Styela clava: one gene and its partner. The protein of the gene in region 1 purifies or fractionates together with the protein of each later gene. This does not show direct contact. Links are inferred from orthologs where the notes say so. Each region holds a gene or a part of one and is shown on either strand. Other genes may lie near its edges.

Evidence for each region.
Region 2: the proteins of ATP-dependent RNA helicase DHX8-like (region 1) and nudC domain-containing protein 1-like purify together in Homo sapiens (affinity purification with mass spectrometry; 3 studies listed by BioGRID and IntAct, counting the BioPlex papers as one, with this or other methods). This does not show direct contact. The link is inferred for Styela clava from reciprocal best matches to the Homo sapiens genes DHX8 and NUDCD1.

The regions. Positions count from the first base shown.
Region 1 is NC_135250.1:15,238,804-15,242,738, forward strand, and holds the start of ATP-dependent RNA helicase DHX8-like, read left to right. Parts: upstream 1-861; 5' UTR 862-960; intron 961-1,955; 5' UTR 1,956-1,990; coding exon 1,991-2,084; intron 2,085-2,621; coding exon 2,622-2,777; intron 2,778-3,265; coding exon 3,266-3,394; intron 3,395-3,935.
Region 2 is NC_135256.1:18,148,906-18,152,840, reverse strand, and holds the start of nudC domain-containing protein 1-like, read left to right. Parts: upstream 1-1,147; 5' UTR 1,148-2,214; coding exon 2,215-3,935.

The DNA of each region.
Region 1 (3,935 bases):
CATCCTCTCGCACATGATCATCCCCGCATGGGATTCGAACCTGCAATCTCACGAAGGGTAATCAGAGATGCGGTGGCGAGCGTATTCCTGACCCTTAGCACATGCGCCACTCAGCCGAGTAAGATTTAGGTAAGTTAACCGTACCTGAACTGTGCACCCCGATTTCCCACGAATAGAGGTTATAAAATTCAACCTTGTAAAGTTGTATATAACAATAATCTATAATTCTATATGACAAATTAAGAAAATTGAACACTGTTGCCAGGTTGCCGTATGGATTATCTGGAAATAACGTGCCTGATGCTGATGGAACTAGGGTGGTGTAGCCAATCTGCGGACGATTTCATTCAAACCGCTATAAAACAAAAACCAATATTTCTAACCCGTTAATTTTTTCACTGTAGGTGCATCGGCATTTATTCTACAAGCTAAACCTCGAATTAACTTTCTACGACCAGGGGTTAAAGCAATACAAACCACCAAAGTACGACACTCTGAAGACGTATTTGCGACCGAACGACCAGTGTGCGACCACGGCTTTCAAGCCTTGAACATCGTTTCTGCTGCATCGAGACTAGGGCATACGCAGCCATGCCCACTTTAAAGATGGTAAAAAGAAACACAACTCTATCCACCTGCCAAGTTTCATCTCTTTATCTCCTATATTTGTATGAATTTTCAAGCTTTTTAAAGGAACAATGGATAGTTGGCGACATGGGAAAACAGTCCGTTTTTTTTCTTCGGTCGGGTTTTCGGTCGTAACTTTTTTTGTTGTGGCCGCATTTTAGTGTAATTTCGCAGAGCTACGAGGGATAAGTGGACGATAACCACAGAGATATATAAATATATTTCCAGTTCAGTGACGATAACGCGTGAGAAATATCGTCGCGGCTCGTTAATTTTTTTGGCAGTAATAATCGATGAAGTGATGGTCGCAAATAGGTTGTGGCCGCAAAGTGGGTAAGCCACCGTACCCTGATGTTATTGATTTAAGTTTTTTATAGGCCCTATGTTTGTTTGCTTAAATTCATATTAATTATGTCTGTTTGTGTAACCAAAATTTTACCTTGTAGCTTATCAAATTTTTATTCGGTTTATCACAGTAGACCTATACAAATTCAGGTATAACAGTATAAGGATTTGATATTGCTGTACTGAAACCTCAACATGAAGATGCTTTTGTGACATTACACAAATAAAAATGATTTACTCTAGCGTTCCAGAATTACTCTCCAAGTTCATTCTTCCATTTTGTGAATATAATTTTAAATACTAGAATCAAGTTCATGCTTCCTAAAACAAATAACTAACTAATCCCATACGGTATCCGACGTGGAATGGTACCCGGACGTGAGGCCATGGTTTGCCATGTCAGCATGTGGTTAGGGGGGGGGGGGGGTAATAGACTTTCCTCTCCTTCCAGCTCTTTGGATAAATATGTAAATCCAGATGTTCTACCTCTTATTTAGTCATCTGAAATTGTGAATGTTAAACTCTGTAAACATAACAGCATGAAAGAGGGAGTTGACTTTGATGATCGTCTGGTCGTATTACTCCCTCCTGTCTACTATTACTAATTGATTGTTATTATTTTTATTAGTACGATGACTGTTATATTATTTTGGTTGACGAAAAAATAAAATCCCTCTTTCTCTGTCCCATTAGAAACTGAATAATGAAACCTCAATACAGCAATACGAAGATAACACTCGTGACACTGGCAGAAGGAAGGTCTATAAATCTGATACTTGTATAGAATCAGAGTTATATCGTGTACTTGACCAGACCGTTCTCTTTTTCCCTTCTTCTTTACATACCAGATGTACCTTAACTAAAGCATCTTGGCTGTATGGTTTTTTGCTTTACAGAACTGCAGAATTACGCCAAGAGCTGCTGACAAACTGCACTATGTAATACTAACTGTAGTAATTTTTGCTTGCATTTTGTAATTTCAGAATTTAGATAATTTTGGGACCATCTATGCAAAATTATGGATGACTTGGAAAAACTTGAATATCTTTCTCTTGTGTCGAAAGTTTGTACAGAATTAGACAACCATCTTGGAATGAACGATAAAGATTTAGGTATTGTAGTTCTTTTTACATTCTTATGTCCAATTTTCAGTAAGCATCGATTTTTTCGACACATTCTAACATAAGTTTATAAGTTCAGTAAACTTGGTGGCATCTCAGACATTTTTATTAACTGAACAACCTGACACATTAGCATGTTTCTGTGATGGTCCAGTTGTTGGTGTATAGCATAAGTTAGGTGTCTTCGTACAACAAAACCTTACCGAAGGTTAGAAAATAAAAAATCAGGCTTGTAAATTTTTTAATTTAAAAGTTTTTGGATATTTTGAATACTTGACAGTGTCGCTGACACTATGACTTTGGTGGCCTTTTGCGGCAATATTGTATGTCTGTTTATTTCAATTTTTATTTTTAATACTATTTCTGATTAATTTTGTTGTTACAATATATCTTGGACAACAAAATAAATATCTGAATTCATTAATATAAAGCTTACTTGCAAGCATTTTGGCTGATTGGGAGATTACAAGTTCATTGAATGCATAGTCAAAGAAACTGAAGTAAAATAGTTATAATATTTCTATTTAGCGGAATTTGTCATCAATCTCGCTGGAAAACATGTCACTGTCGAGTCATTCTCATCGGCATTAGCTAAAAATGGAGCAGAGTTTCCACATTCTTTTACAAGAAATCTTTTGTCTCTTATACATAGAATGAGGCCACCACAAAAGAAAAGAAAAAAGAGTATGTCCATCATTCATATATACTCTCGGTTTTTGGATGATTCCGTAATGTGGCGTCTAATAGACTGTTTATAGCTTGGGTTTGGTTATTATTGAGTAACTGTTCGATAATAACTGAATGTCAATAGTATGTGTTAAATGAATATTGTCCAAAATGGCAGAGACTAATTATTCAGCTGAAGAAATGATGACCAGGTCGTTGACAACTGTAGAAAATGTTACACATCTGAGCAGTTTTGTCAACATAATTTTTGTGATTCCTAGAATGTTGAAATATGTTGTTTCTGTTTGACATAAATTTGTAGATTTGTAGTTCTTTTTTCTGAATTGAGACCATAAAATCTTTAGGTTGTAGAATCCATGTCTCATGTTACTATGAAATAATTGCGTTTGTACACCAATTGTAGATTTTTTTCATTTGTTAATTTCATACATTTGAAACAATTCTTACTGGCATAATATTTGTAAACATTTATATTTTCCTTTCAGATAAAAAGTTAAAAAATGATTCAAAAAGCGATGGGAATGACAAAGGACCCGATTTTAACAGACATAAGACAATGTTTCCAGCATTATGCATTGCTGATGATAAAGATTATGTCAAGAATTTGTTATCAGGTATTGTATAGACTAGGCTATTCAAAGGTAGTTTATCTCAATTTAATAAAGATGCTAGCCAAACAAAACAGCACGGTAATATTTCAAAATTAAAACACAAATGAACGAAATACCATCATCGATCGAAGTCACTCCGAATGAAAATAGCAGTTGTGCCACCACTTGCAATCCTGACTTTCTTTTCACTTGTCTCACAGTAATATGGTTGATGAGTCGACTGCCAATGCCTAACATGCGTAGCGGTACACGGTGCATTTTTAATCATGGCAACAGTCTGCAGTCCATGCATTCTTCAGAATGGTCGCATACACGCATAACTCAGATCGCACCAAAAAATTGGCTCATTTGCGCATGACTTTGATCCCGTAACGAGATGATATCAACATCAGTAATGACACAATATTCAAAATCAGCTGATAAATAAATTATTCAAATCGCATTACCGAAGAATTGCCAACTGTAGCAACATCGAAAGAATGTAGCTTGTAAATATGTCACAAAAGGGCATTCTACGACGTTTGAAAATCCCTTAAATAGCAAT
Region 2 (3,935 bases), on another chromosome or scaffold:
TTACAAATAGGACCGCTTATGCAAGCTCACGCTTTTGAATTTTTTGTTATTTTCTAGCCCTGCAGGGTGTGGGGGCCTTACACAACTCTACCGGAGGGTCAAATGTCTTTGCATGCCTCCATAGGTTGTTTTTCTATTGCAAAAATTTATGGAGTACTCTAATTATATTTCTTGGAATCACACGGTCACTGATATGTCGCCAGACTTCTGATATCTCCCCTTCTGCTATAGTTGTCCTGTGAATAAATAATAGGAAATTGAGATCAGACGAATAGTTGAAACTTTTGCTTTATGTCGGCTTAATTTCTTGATTGATATACTTACTATTTTTGCTATTGCCTCTTGTGCTGCAGGAGTTTCACAATGCTTAAACAGGTTTGTCCAGATTCACATCTGAAGAAGGAGAGGAGATTTATTAATTTTCGTCAAGAATAAATGAAGCAGTCTATATGATTTAGAATGGAAAAGCTAATAAGGCCAACATCTCATGTTTAATGTAAAAAATGTTATATTGAATTTGGTATATAAACCAACTAATAAAGGAATTTAGTCAGAAAATTACAAGCATTCGTGGCTCCATATACTTGAGAGATCAGACTATACAATATAGACCGGTATGAGTGAAATGTTAGGTGAACTTGTTAACCCTTTGATTCAATCCTCACTGATTAAAAAAAATCTAAATGGAGGTGCATGAACTATTTGAAACCATAAGAGGTAAGTAAATATGCAATTTTGGCAAATGGGCAACTACGTACCGTACTGAATTATTAACTTCGTAGTATTTGACAAAAGCTGGCTTTCCCACAAGTACTTAACAGTGCGATGCCCGGATGTGGTATACAACAACCTCAACTTTCCAAAATATCAATAAAATCGACAACAACTGTCAAAGCCGGCACGAACACCATTCGTGCTATGCCTTGAAAGCAGCACACATCCGCTCGTTTTCGTCTCGTCAAGTATGTGCATTGGAGCGTGCTATCGGATACGATCTTCGGCCAAAAATGCCGTAGTTGCGCATCATGTTGTTTAATGTCAGTGCACCAAGCGAAGCAGTACAGTAGGACACAAAATGGCGTCCGATGTCCACAGAACGAAAACAAATCTCACAGAGCTAACAGAAATATTTAAAATTGGGAAAATTTTTATCTCCAACCACTGAAAATTTCAAAGCAATTGGTCCAGTATTCGAAGAGAAAAGCGGTTTTTTAATATTTCTACTAGGTGTGTTATTCTGTGTCAAACAACAAGAACAACATAACATTGAAACGATCGTTATGTCCACTACGTGTCCAATAAGTAAACGATTTTTGTTTTCATGTCACCTCTTCGATGTATGCTGCCACTTATTGCCTACGTGACGCCACGCGTGCTGCAGTTGCTTTGTAGAAACAAAATTTTATTTTACCTGGACTATCGCGGTGGAGTCAGAAATGGAAGACGAGTTTGATGTAATTCTTTTCGGTGATTCACGCGAAAGAGATCGTGGGTATGTAGAAGGAATAGCGCACGGATCCAGAGTTGGAAAGCTGGAAGGTTTTTCAACAGGATTGAACCAAGGACGTTTGACAGCTGGAGAAATTGTTTTTTATCTGGGATTTTGTGAAACATACATTATGCAGCTGAAAAATTTATCGAGTAGTGCAAACTCAAATAATTTTAAATCTTCTCCCGACCAAAGTAAACTTACATTAAAGTTGAAAAACACAATCTCGCTTATAAACGAGTTTATAACCCTCTCACCAGAGGATGAAAAATATTCAAAATATATGAACGACATTCGAACGAATCTGAAAATTTTGTCCTCAAAATTGAAAGTTTCTATTAGTTTTTTAAAAAATTCTAGTGATGTAAATTTTTAATAGGAAGAAATAATATCAATTTTTGGCTATGCACTGTACTTCTTTTTATGATTGACTATTTTATGCCATGTCTGCATGTTGTTTACATGAAGGTGTGCTCCAAATCCTGGATATTGAATTTTAAAAGGATATGTTGTATCATATTTCGCTACGATGATAAATGTTACCTAATTTAACTATCTGCAAGTGTATATTCTCATTCATCGTTTTTTATCAGTGTTCACATTTAGTCACACAATTTTCGATGACCACTTGCTTGATTTTGTCAAATTCCTCACGATTGTAAGGTTTGGTTATCAGTGCAATTATGATATATTTTTAGTGCTCTTCAGTGTAAAATTATCATAAAATGGATGCCAAAAATATTAATTTGCGTCCTGACTGGAATTTATTGGATTCTACTTTTGAATCATATAAGCTGTCTCTACAGCAATTGCCGGTGTATCATGTAAATCCAGACTGTGAATTAGATACGGTAACTTTGGCTAATGACGATTTCTCATACAATCGAACAAAGGTTCTCTCCCTTCACAACTACTTATTTGGCGATCCATGGAATGAAAAAGAATGCTATTTTGTGGATAAAGCTGGTCATATTAAACGTTTGTCTGTTATTGTTGAGGCTTCAATAGGACAACCTCGATCAGTTTTTCAACTAGGATCTCATTTTTTACAAACTGAAAGGCATATGCCTGTAACAATATCTTTCCCCTCAGCTAATTTATGCTTGATATCTGATGGGGCAGGATTGGTATATCTTCTTGATACTGGGAACCGGCAAACTGATACAACTCAAAAAACAAAATGGACTATCTTATTAAGTGGGAACATAGTAGGTGAAAATTCGGAACCTTCTGTACTTCTGTGTTCACGGCAGCATTTTGAAGATGCAGAACCTGAATCTGGAGATCATGGAAAAAAAGATGTCATTGATATTTTGACTTTACGATTTCAGGATGAAAAGAAAGATGATGCCGTGATATCACAAGCTGTTGTGGAATGGACTTGGTTATTTCGATATGATGAAAAGTCCAAATTTGAAATTGGCGAACATAGAATGTTCAAAGGGAAACAAGCACCTTTCTATGCCACCTTGGGTGAAAGTGGTAAAGAATTATTCATCGGGTCACATTCACCAATGAAATATGCTACTGATTGGGAACAGCAGGTTTTGAGTGAAGAAATGGAGATTGAGAATGGAGAAGCTGCTGATAAAATGGACTCCGCACCAGAAAATTCAGAATCTCTGTATAAATGGACTCAAACAGATGAAGATGTAACTGTTATGATTCCTATGCCAGAAGGAGCAGACAAAACTTCTGTTGTATATGGCTTGTCCAAAAGTAAGTTAACTGTTGGTTTCAAGGATGCGACAGGAAAGATTAGTTATGTTCTGGATGGGAAACTATTTGTCGAAGTCGACCATGAATCGAGTAACTGGTCTGTTGAGGGCCAAACCTTGACCGTAACAATCTCAAAAGAATTGGAAGGCCAAAACTGGCCAATTGTTATATTAGGTGACACTAGTGGTCAGATGATTCCCAACAACGCAGATCAAGATGTTGACATGGAGACAAAAGATGAAATGGCAGATTTAGAAGCAAGAGGTTTTCAGCCTACAGGCCTTGATCACTACGAGGATTGTGATGACTTGCCTGATGCGGATTCAATGCTGTACATGTTTGATGCTACAGAAAACAAATTCACTTATGAAGCAGGCATAGCAAGTAATCAGTGGCTATTTAACTGTTACTATAATCATAAATTATGTACAGTGCTGCGACATGATATTGACGCTTTAGTATGGGAATCTGACACTCCCAGTGAGTCTTGTTCCAGTCCCTGGAAACATGTTGCAACATTCAATGCACTCGGGTACGTGAGAGCATCTAAAGAAGATGTAAAATATTCAGGATGCTCTCCGAATGCCTCTTATTCTGCATTATGTGAATCCAGCAGCAGGGTGTTTGTTTATCACAGCCCAACGACAACTGCGGCACCCCTTAAAAACCGAAAAACAGGCAAAAGCATGCATGTTTCGAAACAGCAAGTAGTCTCATTGCCTTCCAA